2 linked regions of the Nothobranchius furzeri genome follow. The protein of the gene in region 1 purifies or fractionates together with the protein of each later gene. This does not show direct contact. Links are inferred from orthologs where the notes say so. Each region holds a gene or a part of one and is shown on either strand. Other genes may lie near its edges.

Evidence for each region. The genes of interacting proteins can lie anywhere in the genome.
Region 2: the proteins of pink1 (region 1) and vimentin purify together in Homo sapiens (affinity purification with mass spectrometry; 3 studies listed by BioGRID and IntAct, with this or other methods). This does not show direct contact. The link is inferred for Nothobranchius furzeri from reciprocal best matches to the Homo sapiens genes PINK1 and VIM.

Annotation. Positions count from the first base shown.
Region 1 is NC_091755.1:38,777,471-38,785,361, reverse strand, and holds the start of pink1 (serine/threonine-protein kinase PINK1, mitochondrial), read left to right. Parts: upstream 1-2,910; 5' UTR 2,911-3,002; coding exon 3,003-3,359; intron 3,360-3,781; coding exon 3,782-4,057; intron 4,058-4,138; coding exon 4,139-4,242; intron 4,243-4,321; coding exon 4,322-4,504; intron 4,505-4,662; coding exon 4,663-4,826; intron 4,827-4,914; coding exon 4,915-5,042; intron 5,043-6,474; coding exon 6,475-6,705; intron 6,706-6,806; coding exon 6,807-7,091; 3' UTR 7,092-7,891. UniProt on the Homo sapiens protein: Serine/threonine-protein kinase which acts as a sensor of mitochondrial damage and protects against mitochondrial dysfunction during cellular stress.
Region 2 is NC_091751.1:47,674,565-47,682,527, forward strand, and holds the start of vimentin, read left to right. Parts: upstream 1-3,739; 5' UTR 3,740-3,887; coding exon 3,888-4,417; intron 4,418-4,595; coding exon 4,596-4,656; intron 4,657-6,947; coding exon 6,948-7,043; intron 7,044-7,262; coding exon 7,263-7,427; intron 7,428-7,698; coding exon 7,699-7,824; intron 7,825-7,929; coding exon 7,930-7,963. UniProt on the Homo sapiens protein: Vimentins are class-III intermediate filaments found in various non-epithelial cells, especially mesenchymal cells. Vimentin is attached to the nucleus, endoplasmic reticulum, and mitochondria, either laterally or terminally.

The sequences.
Region 1 (7,891 bases):
TAGCTCCTAGGATCATTAGGGCACTCAAACTCCCCCACCACGATAAGGTGACGGTTCAAGGAAGACTTTCCTGTTTAACATATTAAAGAGGCTTTTTGATATCTTTTACGTTTTTTCTAAAATCGCAGGTAGAAGTTGAGGTACGACTTGAAATTTTCAGAAAAATTCACAAAAGTTATATTGGGGAAAGATAGGAGCGGTGACCCTCCCTTGCTCCATTTCCGGCGTTGTCCCGAGAGAACCGTAGGTCCGATTGAAATGAGACACACGCTGGCTTACAGCTAACGAATATACCTTCGTTTGGAACTATAATTCATGACTGTACTCCGAACATTGTGGTTGTACGGTTCATTTGTTTGAGAAAATTCAAATTTAAAAAAATGCCTCTCACCACTCTAAACTGAAAATGCCGCAACTTTTGAACTTCACATCCACTGTGAACAACTCTTTACTACCCCCAGCAAATATTTCTAAATTCACAGTTCAGCCAATTGTAAAAATATACCCATTAAACTATTCTCATTCAAATGCCAGTGTCATGGTCTCCGTCAGCCCCCTTCCTTTATGTGCCTCCTGGTGTCCTCCATCCCTCTCTAGATTCCCTCTTGTGTCCCTTTGTTCCCCCAGCTCCCCTTGTGCTCTCTTAGCGCCCTCATGTGTCCTTGTCTGCATCCCTGTTATGCGTCTTATGTTGTAGCCCTTTGGCGCCCTCTTGTGTCCTTTTTCTGTGTCAGTTTCTGTGTGTCAGTTTATGTGCCAGTCTAGTGTCTGATGTTATCTTTTACTGTTTCCTCCCAGGTCAGCTCCAGCCTCGTTGTCCCCAGCTCAATGTGTGTATGTACTATGTCCTCCTCCAGCTAGGTTGTGTTAGTCCTTCCCTCTGTCTTTAGGAAATTGTTGTTTAGTTTTGTGTTAAGGTATTTGCCATCCTCTGTTTCTGTTTTCCCCATTGAGTTGATTAGTGTCACCTGCCTTCCCTCCAGCAGCTCACCCCACACACCTGCTTCCTGTTTCCCTGATTGCTCCTCCCAGTGTATTTAAGCCCTGTCTGTCTCTGTGTTCTTGTCGGTCCATTGTTGCTTGTTAGCGTTATAAGTCCTGTCAGTCTGCTCGTTCCTCTGGTGTTTTTTGACTCCCTGGATTCTTGGATTTATTCTTTATTTTGGACACATCCTACAATAAAAGGATTTTCTTTATTTCAATTCCTGCTTCGTGTCATCCTGGGTTTTGCAATTTGGGTCCTACTCTCCTAAACGTGACAGCCAGCTGTTTAACATTTAAAATTTCGAGTTTTTAATCAATGTTCAAAGATTAAAGTTTTCTGGTGTTTAGCATTTTTTTGTCCATTCTTCACCTATATTCTGAGCTTTATTACACTTGTTGGGGATTTTTGCTTCTAAAGCTTTAAATACATATTTTGACAGTTTAGCTTAGTTCCGCTTCACTTCAGCTTTTCAGCAGCTTCAGCAATTAGTTTCTGAATTCAGCATATGATGCTAATTTCAAAGTTCAGCTAAATGTAAAAATTCAACTGATAAACTAGTCCTACTGAAATAACAGGTGTTTAGACATTTTAGCTGTCCAGATTTTTATACAATGTTCACATATTTCAGTTTTTTGCTATTTAGGATGATTTTTCTCCATTCTTCACTAACTTTTTCTCTTCAAATTATTCTGGTGAGTGCTGGTGCTGCTGTAACAAGTGAATTTCCCCACTGTGGGATCAATAAAGTCTATTCTATTCTATTCTATTAAGTTTATTTATATAGCGCCAAATCACGACAAGAGTCGTCTCAAGGCACTTCACATAATAAACATCCCAATTCAGGTCTGTTCATTGAGCCAATCAGAAAAAATGTTTCCTATATAAGGAACTCAGCAAATTGCATCGAGTCACTGACTAGTGTCAGAGTCTTTACAGCAATCCTCATACTAAGCAAGCATAAAGCGACAGTGGAGAGGAAAACTCCCTTTTAACAGGAAGAAACCTCCAGAGAATCCTGGCTCAGTATAAGCAGCCATCCTCCACGACTCACGAGATAGATAGATAGATAGATAGATAGATAGATAGATAGATAGATAGATAGATAGATAGATAGATAGATAGATAGATAGATAGATAGATAGTAGGCCTACTTGTCTTGCATTAAGTTATTTACCTGAAATGTTGAAGGAATAAACCAACCGTACATAACATAAATGAACTAAGTCTAAAGTCAAATCGATAATGTGGCTCTATGCAGGTGGGTAGTTGGCAGAGGTATGGACTTGAGTAACATGACTTGGACTCGAGTCAGACTTGAGTATTTATTTTAATGACTTCTGATTTGACTTGATAAAACCTATAAAGACTTACAACTTGACTCGGACTTGAACACCAGTGAATTGCTACTTGAATCGACTTGCATCTGTTGACTTGATGATGACTTGAGCATATTTGATATTCAGCACAAAAGTGGCACGACACGGACGAAAATCATAAATGATTCTTTGTTCTGGGTTTGATCTTGTTCTGCCAACTGCAGCAGCACTTTGTTTATAATCAGTTTCAGTTGCACTTTCTGCTTATTTGAGCAAATAAATTCAGTTTTAAGAAGTTTTATTTCTGGAATTTATTTATTATCATTGTCATTAAATTGAAGTTGGACAGATGACTTGATTATGACTTGAAAATTCAAAGTTTAGGACTTGGACTTCCACATCATTGACTTTGGGCTCGACTTGAACTTGGTTGTCTTTGACTTGGACTTGACTGGAAAGACTTGTGACTTACTTGTGACTTGAAAAGCAGTGACTTGGTCACACCTAGTCTGGTAGTTGGACATGTGGTAGAAATGGCTCTTTGGGTTGTAATCACACATGTCGTGTGACGCTCTTGACGCTTGATGTCGCCAGAGGATCTTAGAATCTTCTGCGCATGCTCCACAGCTGTTGTTTACTAACAAGATAAGCTAGCGGAAGTGAGCTTTCCAAGCCTCTTGAGGCACATTTTTGTGTTCACAATGTCTGTGAAGCACGCCATTAGCCGGGGGCTGGAGTTGGGACGCTCCTTCCTTCAGCTGGGTCTTCTTAAATCCCGTGGCCGAGTCGCAGCGAAGCTCCTAGCTGAGCGTTTCCGTGCAGGCCCGTCGGTCCGCACCGTTCAGCCTCAGGCTTTCCTGCCGTCCCGGTACCGGTATTACCGCACCTCCCTGAAGGGGCTGGCAGCCCAGCTTCAGTACGCCGGCTTCAGGAGGAGGTTAACCGGCGGCTCGCCTCGTAACAGGGCCCTGTTTTTGGCTTTCGGTCTCGGCGTGGGTCTCGTCGAGCAACAGCTTGAAGATGACAGACGGAGTGCGACAGCCTGTCAGGAGATCCAGGTGAGGTTCTCTCGAAACGCAAACTTGCAGTCATGGCCAAATATTAATGATTCAAACAGAAGTTGAAACGAGAAGAGTTTGAGAATTTCTCTGGAAACCACAGTGAACCAGCATGATGGTGGCCTCCTGAGCAGCAACAGTGGGCTGCTAGAACATGAGCAGGATGTCGAGGAAAGCTGTGAGCTCATTTGTGGAGGAGTGGAAGAGCCATGACTGCGGGGTTGGTGTGGTCCTGTTCTCAGCATTGAATGCAAAGAACCATCACATCTTCAAATGCATTGTTGTTTATGTGTCAGATAAATACACTCGGCTTGTAGTGGGGGACCCAGACAGAGCCTTGGGGAACACCCAAAGAGCAGATCAGATGGAAACGCTGAGTTTGAAGAGTAGGTTCTGAACCAATTCTTTCTCCCAAACTGCAGGCAGTGTTCAGAAAGAAAACGTTCCAGAGCCCTCTCATACCGTTCAGCTCTGGATACAAGCTGGAAGACTACATCATTGGAAACCAGATTGGTAAAGGTTCAAATGCAGCTGTGTACGAAGCGGCACCTCAGTTTTTTAACTCAAAGGAAAGCAATGGAGAGCACTCGCTGGAACAGGTCAGAGAAGACAAAGAGGATGTCCAGATGGTGAGATCTCCAACGTGCTGCTCTCTGATGAACTTCCCCCTGGCTATCAAGATGTTGTGGAACTTTGGGGTGAGTCATTCAGGTCCAAAGAAAAAGGAAACTTAAAAAAAAACATAAAAACGACTTCTTTTAAATGTCATTTGTTTGCAGGCAGGGTCTTCGAGTGAGGCGATATTAAAATCTATGTCACAGGAGCTGGTTCCTTCTGGTCCTCTTGCATTTAAGCCAGAAGAGGAAGAGATCACCCTGGATGGGTAGATGTTTACACATTCTGCAGTGTAGTGCAGATCTGAGGACGATAGTCATGCTTATGTTTGATCTCTCTACATGCAGATATTTTGGAGTCGTCCCTAAAAGGGTCTCTGCTCACCCTAATGTGATCAGAGTTCACCGGGCGTTCACTGCAGATGTGCCGTTGCTTCCAGGAGCTCAGGAAGAGTATCCAGATGTGCTTCCAGCCAGACTCAACCCCGCAGGCCTGGGCAACAACCGCACTCTTTTTGTGGTCATGAAGAAGTGAGACCCGATTCCTAAATGTGAAATAGTTTGTGAACAGACTTTTGGGGAAAGAAGAAGGCCAGCAGATGCATTCAAGTGGATCATTCTGGTCATTTTTCACTTTTTGCTGTGCAGGTCATCCTCAGATACATAAGTGTTGTTTTTTGCTTCCATAGTTATCCCTGCACACTGCGACAGTACCTGCAGGTGACCAAGCCCAGCTGCAGGCAGAGATCCCTGATGGTACTGCAGCTCCTGGAGGGGGTGGATCATCTGTGCCAGCAGGGCGTCGCCCATCGGGATCTCAAGTCAGACAACGTGCTGCTGGAGTTTGACTCGGGTCGGATTTAAAAACACGAAGCTTCCATTAGACGCCATGTTTCTATCTGTTGCACTAAAATGATTTTGTTTGGGTTTTATTCTTCTAGGTGGTTGTCCTCGTTTAGTGATTACTGACTTTGGCTGCTGTTTGGCTCAGAGTGGCTCCAGCCTACAGCTTCCCTTCAGCAGCCTGTGTGTCAGCAGAGGAGGAAACATCTCGCTCATGGCTCCTGAGGTACGCTTCACCTCTTCTTTATCAGGATCAGAGCCAGCTTTAGCTGTTTAGTTCCTAAGGTCAGATCAGCAAACAGAAAAATGTCTCCAACTTTACTGGTTTGATTATATTGAGCTGAGAATTACTCACAAAACTTACTGGCTCAAGGGCTTGGGATCTGTTGGAAAAGTTCTTGATTAACGTGGAAACACGTGAAATTAGTATGAGTAGAAAACAGCACAGGCTAGTTAGGAATTAAGATTTTAATTGAAACGATGCTTATTTTCTTTAAACTTTAGTTTTCATTAAAGGGACTTTACGGCGTTTTGAATTTTTATGCTCGCGATTGCCCCCTCAGGCCAAAAGCATAACGGCAGCTTCAATAGTAGGCTCGTGCACGCATGCTGTACGTGCACACTCCTTAATGAAAATAACAGCTGAGACAGTCCCGTGTGTGTGTGTGTGTGTGTGTGTGTGTAGCCGGGAGGACAGGAGAACGCACAGCTAATTAATTAAATAATTTGGTTCTGTACCTTTCTCTTCAGCACAGCCGACAAAGGTTTATGATGGGTCAGTCCTCCTGCATGCTCAGATCATTCCCTTCCCTTGCTTGAAAAATTGTTCCAAAATGAAAGTTGAACCCACATCTTTTTTATCTGTGAATTCAATGCCGTTCGCCAAGTCTCAAATAAAAATTTGGGCATCTTACTGTAAAAAAATATACCATTAATGTAAAAAATAAACTATGATCACACCCAGAATCGAACCCAGGTCTTCGGCACGAGAGTCCGACGTCTTACTAGGTGAGCTAAAATGCCAATGACATCCTTTGTATCTGTAACTTTTATATCCTTGATGACAGCTGAAACAACGTTCAAAGAACGGTTCGGAGCGAAAATGGCTATTTTGTTGCTAATTTGCAGGAAATATCTAGAAGGAAGTAGCTAAGGGTGCTCAGAAATGTAGCTAGCTTTGTCACTAGGCGTTAGGAACAGCGACAAAGTGGCACTGCCTCTCTCTCTGCTGCTAAAGCTACGGATAGCAAATGCTACGGGCGATGCCTGAGCGTGAACACGCATGAAGCAGCCTGCTCGACCCGAGCATCTCTCTTTTTCTGTGATTTTACAGAAAAACAGGCAATCACAGTAAAAATGCCAGGGCTCATTCTACAGGACCAGGGCATTGCAGGAGAAAGTATGAAGAAGACATTTATTATTTCTATACATGTTATGGCTGTCACACTTCCATAATGCCCCTTTAAAAACATAAAACACCTTCAGCGACACTTCCAGCCTGGCCGACTCCAGGTGTACCTGCAGGCGTCTAACGAACAAATCAGACCCGCCGAACCGTGTGGACCACCTTGAACACAACACCAAACACTCCGGCTGTTCCTGGATTTCTCTGAGGCGGTGTGTCTTTACCTGCTGTGATGGGTTATTTGTCTCATCAGGTGGTCACCGCAGTCCCAGGAAGCGGTGTGGTGATTGACTACAGCAAGGCGGACGCCTGGGCCGTTGGGGCGATCTCCTATGAGATACTTGGAGAGCAGAACCCGTTCTATCAGGCTGGGGGACTGCGTAGCACCGACTACCAGGAGAAACAGCTTCCTCTGTTTCCTTCCAGAAGTCCAGCTGATGTGCAGTTGGTGATACAATTACTTCTCAGGAGAAACCCAGAGCGGGTAAAGCAGGATAGGTCCAGTTATAAACTGATCTCTTACACTTGGAAGCGTTTGTTTTTAATTGATGATTAGCTCTGTTTGCCTCTGTTCTTCCTCCTCAGCGGCCCAGTGCACGTGTAGCGGCTAACATGCTACATCTCAGCCTCTGGGGTCGGAAGGTTTTGGCCAGTCAGGACAGTGCTGGCACGAAGAAACTCGTTGACTGGTTGCTGTGCCAGTCTGCGGTGGTTCTCCTGAAGGGCTGTGCTGGACCCAGTGGGAATGGGGTGGAGGCGGAGCTTCAGAGAAGCTTTCTGTCCAATCTGGACCTGGTGGAGCTGCGCACCGCAATGGGCTTCCTCCTCTATGGTTGGGAGCAGCGCCGCGGCTGCTCTCTGTCAGCGTAGATCCGGTCCAAACCGTAACTCGGACCCTCAAAAAGAAACGCTGGTAGTTAAACTATGGGTGGATACCTGCTGTGTTTTTGTTGTGCTTGATTTAACATTTAGCTGCTGTATGAATGAGCAGTAGCTTAACGCTCATGCGAAAGGCCGGATTTCAGCGTCAGCTAGCTCGAAAACCTTTTATAGCACACAGAAATTTTACACGTTTACTGAAAATGACAGCTCCAGGTCTTCCTGGATTTTTTTGTATGGGATCAAATTTATTATTGAAAGTCAGAGAACGGGGTTCTGGATTTGTTCAGCCTGGTTTCACGTGAGTGAGTGAGTGAGGGAGTGAGTGAGTGAGTGAGTGAGTGAGTGAGTGAGTGAGTGAGGGAGGGAGGGAGGGAGCGAGCGAGCGAGCGGACTGCTCCCTCTCCATCATAGTTTGTATCCTCACAATGACTGTTTTCCAGCCAGATGGAGCAACATCTCACGCTAACTGGAACACAACATCATGCAGAAGGTGTGGGTGTATGCGTGAGTGATGACCCATGTGAGAAAGTCTGTGAAGGTCTAACAGAAGACGTCACCAAGGAGGAACTTTATACAAAGGACAGCTGGGAGGGAATGATTTTAGAGATCCAGAGTTCTACTGGGTCTAAATGTGCGAGAGCCGTCTGCAGGGACACCCAAGTCCAACTGGCCACTTGTTCAAGGGAAATCTGGTCAGAGGAAGTCTGGAACAAACCTTTAGAGGCTAAATTTAATCCCACACAAAGATGAGTAACATCTGTATTCAAAAGTACAAAAAACATAAATTT
Region 2 (7,963 bases), on another chromosome or scaffold:
CTAAAATTAAAACCTAACCTTGATGCAACGTCATCAATAATGTCATCACATGAAATCTGCTCCCCTACTGAGTGATTGATACTAATCAGAGCCAGGTTAGTGAGCCGCCCCTGAAACATAGGTGACCTCAGGTATGACTTGATCAAGTTTTGAAAAGCTCCTCTCAGCTTGAGCCACAGTGACTGGCAGAGCAGTCCAAAAGTTGGGGTAGATCTCCAATAGATCTTTATCATGATCCATAATATTTTAGAATTGCCTCTGAAATTGTAATTTAAACTGACATAAAAAATTGTAGACTACCAAAAATGCCAACTTTTACAGAACAAACCATGTAAAAAATAATCAGTGCAGCCATCTGCAATAAATAAACAGTTAGTGGTGACTAGGGAGTTTCCTTCTGCTTGTAGAGTTGTTTTATTTATTATTATGTGAACATGATCAACATGTGTTTGTTGTTGTTCAGGCAGGCCACAGGCTGCAGTGAGCATTTAACAAATCCTAGTTTGAATCAGTAAAAAACGATTCAAGGACTTTTTTCGAACCATTTGAATATTCGTTTCAATATTTCAGCCCTATTAGCTCTGTTAGCAATTAGTTGACCGCATTTAACCGTTAAAATCCCAGTTAACTGGTTCAAAAAATTGAAAACATGCATCATGAGAGCTACATACCTTTATCTTTTTTTTCCCCCTGAATCGAACACCTGGTGGTTTTAGCCTTTTTATGTTCATCTCTTCTGTTTGGCTCTTAACTCAGTAAGTTTCCTTTAGTCAGGACTAAACAATTTGACCTTGATGGGGGGGTGACCACAAAATCGTTTTGTTTTTCCTTTTTTTATTCGGCCATTTCACACAATTCAGAGAAACCTGAAAGAATGATAGGCCTGTGTTTATGATATTATGAATGAAATATGGAAGAAAGTTAAGATGTGATTGACTTTAGCCATGTTAATACAGTTGATTCAGCCCCTGCACGCTCATTTCATTTGGGAAAGACGCAGAGGTGAATTCCCCCGCCGCACCCCTCCCCTTCCTGTTCTTCATAGACACACGGTGCACGTGAACGTTCTCAGTCAGCATGAGCGCCTGCAGCTGCAGGGGGCGCCAACTTGCTGTTTCCAATCCAGACACTGTCATATAACCGATAATAGAAAACCTCGGTGCGGCGCAGATTTCCTTTTTTTTTTTTTTTTACTCAGCGCTTGTGCGCCCCTTTTGTGTCATGAAAAAATGCCGCCCCGGGCAACTGCCCTGTCTGCCCGTGCCTAAAACCGCTACTGCTTCACCCTTTTGTGCTGCCTTGGGTCTCTCCAAACGTGGAAGGAATTGGTCCATCCATTTTCTGTCAGCATTTGTTTTTTCATGTCCCTAAAACAAGCTGTTTTCAAGAGTCCATATTTATGATGTCACAAATGGGGAATTTAGGACAGAACCGTCTCTTACATGCAAGAGACAGCTGCTGTTGGAGGAGCATGCTCTGCTGCAGGCTCCTCTGATATATCGGAGCTTCTCAGCTAATAGCAACCTGAGCAGGAGATGGGTGGGCGTGGCCAAGTGCAGCTTGTTGTTTTTAACCGGATGGTCCAATCTTTGGTTTCAGAATGAGCCATGTTATTGGCCAAGGGATTTAGACAAATACGAGAGAACCACCTCATTATTTATTTTTTCGTTTTTTTAATCGCCAAAATAAATTCATAACTATACATGTTAGAATGTTTTAGGCTATTTTGTTTTCCAAATTTTCTCTAGCAACTTTAACAATGTTCTAACATTGCATTAAAATTGAAAAGAACATTTTGAATTCCCGGTGTAAGAGGGTATAATATGTTGCTTTTAAGCTTATTATACTACCTTTACTTATGACCAATAAGATGTGATATTCTATATAAATATAGGATATCAACCTGATTGATCTTTGAATGTTTAATCAGAAGAATTAGGATTCTTTGCCTTTTCAGTGATCATAAACACACTTCGTATTAATTCAGACAGAGTCAAGAAATGTATTTTCTAAACAAATTAAAAATCATGACCTATAAGCAACTTTATGTGATGGATGAATATAAGTGGATGGAATGTGATGTTTGATGATGGAATGGTGTGTGATGTTTATCAGAACCTTGGATCTAGAAGAAACTCAGGCTTGGTTCTGGGTGTGAAAAGAATTTGTTGTTTGTTATAAGCTGAAGAATTGATTCATCAAAACGGCATCAGACAATTCATGCCGTGCCTATGTACCTATTCCTGGAGACCCTGTTTGGATCTGAGATGTCAAAGAGTCATTGATCCCACTGCACATGGCTCGTAGGAAAACTTCGATGCGACCAAGTCAGTCCTAGGATGCCTCCGGGTCGTGAAAAACAGGGGGACTCGTTTGCGTCTAGAACGGTTGGACTCTTAAGGAGTCGGAACTGTCAGCGTTGTTCTGCAGGAACCGTGTGCTGTGTCAGCTGCAGCGTGCAACAGGTGTGACAGCTTGTCAAGAGATGCGGTGGTTAAAGAGTTTTCCTCTGGTGGCCAGTCCGGAGTTCGGCTCAAAACTAATTGAATTACTCAGCAAGTGATTCTGTTTTAACAATTGCCATATTATGATTACATGGCCAACCAGAATTTGACATGTAAAGGGGTTTTACCAACCAACCTCAGATACACACCTCCCTCAGATACAGTAGCTCTGATTTGTGGATCAGAAAGCAATGTGTCATGAGATTACTTTAGTCATATGTATGAGTGTGTGCTTGTCAAGTCACGTACGTTGATTAAATATATGGGTCATATATTTCATTTCATCCTTATTAATCTAAGCACAGATTAAACAAAACATTTCATTTAACCACATTGTTTATTTCATTATGTGATTAATTAACTCATATGAGCTGAAAGTGTTCACTTTTATTCAGAGGCAGGAGGAATCCTGTAGAAGCGATAAGAGAAAGCTTAAGGCCTTGAAACGGGAACAGTTTTGTTTACAATATGTTATCCATGTGTTCAAAGCTGCAGAGGCCTGAACTTCAGCTGATAAAATAGCAGAATTCAGCAGATTAAAGACACTAGATGTAGACTCATGTCTCCATCTGACTGGATACTGAAGAGGTCAAACTGTGGATGAAAAACTGACCATTTCTGGACGTTACAATGGAAAACAAAAGATTTTTGGATATAGAAAATGCGACTGATTTTTAGCGGTCTCTTGTTTACTGTGGCAATGTGGGTTCTGGTATCAAGGGACTTGGCTTGGGGATGATAGCCAAGGGAGGGGTGAGCACTCCGTGACCATGTTTGTGTTTAAATTCTAGTTTGTTTTAGAGATTTGTTATTGCAGGTTTAAAGTGACAGAGCTCTCAAATGGCTCATTCTGGAAGGTACTGAAAATGTAAAGAATAATAGTAATCACTCCTTGTGAGAGAACATTATAAACCTGTTTTGTATTGACCACAGATCTATTATAACTATAAGTTAAAAAGTAATAATATGTCCCTTTATTGAGTTATTTTCCACTTATAAGGTATTTTTCAAAACTTTATTTAAATGTATTGAAATGTTAACCTCACCCACAAAACGCCTGTTAACTTTAATAGATTTTATTTAGAAGCTTAGACTCACCACTTCATATATCAAGTAATTGAGAAAAAGGGAGATTTTTTTTCCATCCAAAAGAGCTTTGTGACCTTTCTCAGTTTTGTTGTGCACCTTAGAAGGCATCTGGCCTCAGAAAGCCAAGTGTGTGTTCTGATCTAGGATTGGAGTCTGGGGGTGTCAGTCAAGTTCTACTTGGCGCTTTTTGCAGGAGGAGGGGGCTATAAATAAGTTCTGGAGAGGGAAACGCCTTTCTAGGGCACCGCTGATGCTGCAGAGGTGAGGTGGACACTCTCAACAGAACCCAGTAAGATGTCCTACAGACCAGCTCCTCATTCTTCCTACAAAAAGATGTTCGGAGGGGACCGAGCCACGGCCCGGACCAGCTACTCCAGCCGCCAGTTCTCCAGCCCGCTGCGCTCCTCTCGGGTCTCCTACGGGCTCTCCTCCGCTCCGACCACCGTTTACGCAATGAAGACGCAGAGGCTCCGGAGCAGCGCGGCCATGCCACGGCTGGCCTCCGAGAACCTGGACTTCTCCCTGTCCGACGCCATCAACAGCGAGTTCATGACGAACCGCACCAACGAGAAGGCGCAGATGCAGTCGCTCAACGACCGCTTCGCCAACTACATCGAGAAGGTGCGCTTCTTGGAGCAGCAGAACAAGATCCTGCTGGCGGAGCTGGAGCAGCTGCGGGGCAAAGGCACGTCCCGGGTCGGGGATCTCTACGAGGACGAGATGCGGGAGCTGCGGCGTCAGGTGGACCAGCTCACCAACGAGAAGGCCCGGGTGGAGGTCCACCGGGACAATCTGGCGGATGACATAGAGAGGCTGAGAGAGAAGTAGGCGTGGCACATGTGGCCATGATTTCCTTATTGTTATTATTCATTTCTGCAGCTGTTCAGATGAGTAAGAAGTAAAATCAAAGAAGACAAAACTGAAAAGAAGAAGCATGGAAGAAAGCTCCTGCTTATGCTAAATATAAAATAACAGCTTTCTCTGTGTTCTCCCCTCCTGCAGGCTGCAGGATGAAATCTCCCAGAGGGAAGAGGCAGAGGCAAACATGCAAAGTTTTAGACAGGTATGAGATAGAATGATGACTTCAGCTAGCTAAAAAATGTTTCTGTTTTGTTGCAAAATTGCTCAGCTTTAATCAATCAATCAATCAATCAATTAATCAATCAATCAATCAATCAATCAATCAATCAATCAATCAATCAATCAATCAATCAATCAATCAATCAATCAATCTTTATTTATATAGCAACTGCCTTTGCAGGAGGCCAATACGCTGAGCATATAATACACTTAAAACATGAAGTGTAAAAGCAGCATAAAAGCATTAAACCAAGTCACATAAAAGCCAAAGGATACAAATTAGTCTTCAAATGACTCTTAAAATCCTGTAATGATGGTTTAATATCAAATGGAAGCTCATTCCAAAAGAAGGAACCAAGACCAAGAAAGCCCGAACTCCTCTAGATCTGTACCTAGTATTTGGGACTGTCATGTGAGGGAGGAGATGGCAGACAATGTGTGGTGGAGAGTTCAGGAGGCAGGAGAGCAGGCACAGATGAAATAAAAATGGATTTAATAGTAAACGGGAGCGACAGGACAAAACGAGCACATGCACATACAATGATCCGACGAAGACTGGTACAAGGAGGGAGATATAAATACACAGGGAAATCAGGAAGAGCAGAGTAATGAGGGACAGGTGAGAACAATAAGGACTAATCAGGGCAGGAGAAAGACACAGTCAGGAAGGCAGGGGCAGAACATGACAGGGACAGTCAGTAGCGTAGAATTTGTGATGGGGTGTCTTTTTATTAGTTCTGCCAAATATGGTGGAGCATCACCATAAAAAGACCAGAAGATATAGCAGAGAACTTTAAACTTTGCCCGAAAATCTACAGGGAGCCAATGTAATGAGGCCAGCACAGGAGTGATGTGTGCCGACTTCCCTGTCAGAAATCTGGCTACAGAGTTGTGAACCAACTGCCCCCAGCTTCTCATAACTTTGACCCAAAATCCCCAAATCGATGACGCAAACCTCCAACTGTGCAGTGGAGTGCATCCCTTTTCTCTTTTAGGTAATCTGTCTAGTTTTGGCTCATGAGCCACAGAGGCAGGAATGCACCGCTCTGATGACACAACAGCAGGTTCCAGACATGATTCCGAACAGTTAAAGAGTGCCCTGGCCTGGCTGGTACAAAAGGCCAAGTTTGCTCTGCTCGATTGGAGTCTGACTGGTCTGATGTGGTTATCAGAGCGAGAAGACGGGCCACCGCGTGATCCGGCTGTCTCGTTCACATAAGAATTTCTCTTGTTATGGTTCTGTTCCCTGTCACTGGTTTTCCAGTTGATAGGTCATGTGAATAGAGTTATATGGCGGTTACTGTACACAAATAGGTCAAAAACATCACTTTGGTGAATAACTTAAACACATAAATACACATTTTGTTGATTTTATGTTTTTTCGGTGCAGATTTGGGCTTAAATCAGGTTGTTGTATGGCAGGAAGGAATTGCATGAGTGGTCTGCCTCCGTGGCAAACAGACAACAATGTTTGGCCAGCAGCCGGCTCCTGCTCAGTCAGGCAGACAGTCACTCTTCCAGCCTTTGGGCATGTTTTGGAACCCCTGCTGAATGGTCCACATTGTTTGTGGCATTAACACATGGGCAAAGCAGCTTCTGTTGCTGATACCTCAATCAACGGCCTGCCAACGCCCCGATGAAGCTGTGCACTGGCACAACAACAGGTTTGTTTCATTATGGGTTCTGTCTTCCAAAACAAAAGCTTCGTGCTTAATTAAGTGGAGGAATGAAATAATGACTAAACATTCCATCACTGTTGGAATTTTTAATTTCATTCAGAGAAACTAGAAGGAAATTTCACAATAAACATAAATTTAGCTTATAAATGGGCTTAAGGACCTTTTTAATTATGTGGTTTGAATGAGACCCTTTACTGAATAAAAAAATTGGAAAATGGAGTCATTGATGTGTTTTTTAGAATAGTTTAATTTTTTAAATGCATTAATTCAACACATTTTTGATTCACTAGAGATATGAATAATAAAATGCTCACATAAGTACGAACGGCATCCTCTAGCATGTGGCTTTGCAGTCACAACACATGACAACATCCACTCTTTAGTGACACACATCATGTGCCTGCAGTTGATTTGTATTGAATGCATGTGTGTTATCTGCTACACAATGGGACATCTGTGTGTGGGGAAACACTTTAAATGCTCTTTACAGCACATGCAAGTGCATTTCTTTAAAAGTCCCTGCCAGCAAATGCATCATGAATAATTCTTGTCACCTTTACAAGTCGCCTTATTAAGAGTCAATGTCGTGGCACAGGATGTGGACAACGCTGCCCTCGCCAGACTGGACCTGGAGCGGAAGGTCGAGTCACTCCAGGATGAGATTAACTTTCTCAAGAAGCTGCATGATGAGGTAAGCTCTCCCCGTTTTCAGCTGAATCGCTGTGCTGCAGGAATGTTGCATGTGCACTGCAGTTTGTGAAAGACACCTTTATGGAGAAAGCCAAGCCAAATCATTTCAGTTATTTCTTAATCCACTTAAACGCCAATTTAGCTGGATTTCGAGCTTTTCCCAGAGCACAGAGGGACATTAAAACAGACTGTTCTGTTCGCCTCGCTGGTTCTGTTGCAGGAAATGCTGGAGCTGCAGAACCAAGTCCAGCAGCAGCAGCACGTGCAGGTTGACATGGAGGTGGCTAAGCCTGACCTGACGGCGGCTCTGAGGGACGTCCGCCTGCAGTATGAAAACCTGGCCTCCAAAAACATACAGGAGTCGGAGGAATGGTACAAATCCAAGGTGATATTTCAAGAAATGATAGAGTAGAATATTTAGTGCATGGCCATTTATTATTTTTATTTAGTAAAAATGTCTGCATAACAAAAACATCCTCAGCCTCAAAACTACAGCATCATGCATGGTCGCCTTTCATGACAAGATCTTGCAAAATTTCCCCACTTCACCCCTCTCACTGCACTTCCTCTCCTTCAGTCTCTGACTCATCATTTATGGAAGAGTCGAATTGTCAGCCATGTCTCCTTTCCCCTCCGTTTGCAACTATGATTTCTAGTTTGCTGACCTGAACGAAGCTGCAGCCCGGAATAATGAAGCTTTGAAACTAGCCAAGCAGGAGGCCAATGACTACAGGCGCCAAGTTCAAGTCCTCACTTGTGAAGTGGATGCCCTGAAAGGAACTGTGAGTGTGCAGTTTTCGTGCATCTGGGACTGGGAGCAATCAAACTGACAACAAATAGTTAAAAGGAGAAGCAGCATATTCATTCACGTTTGGCTGTGGTGACAGAATGAGTCTTTGGAGCGTCAGATGAGAGAGATGG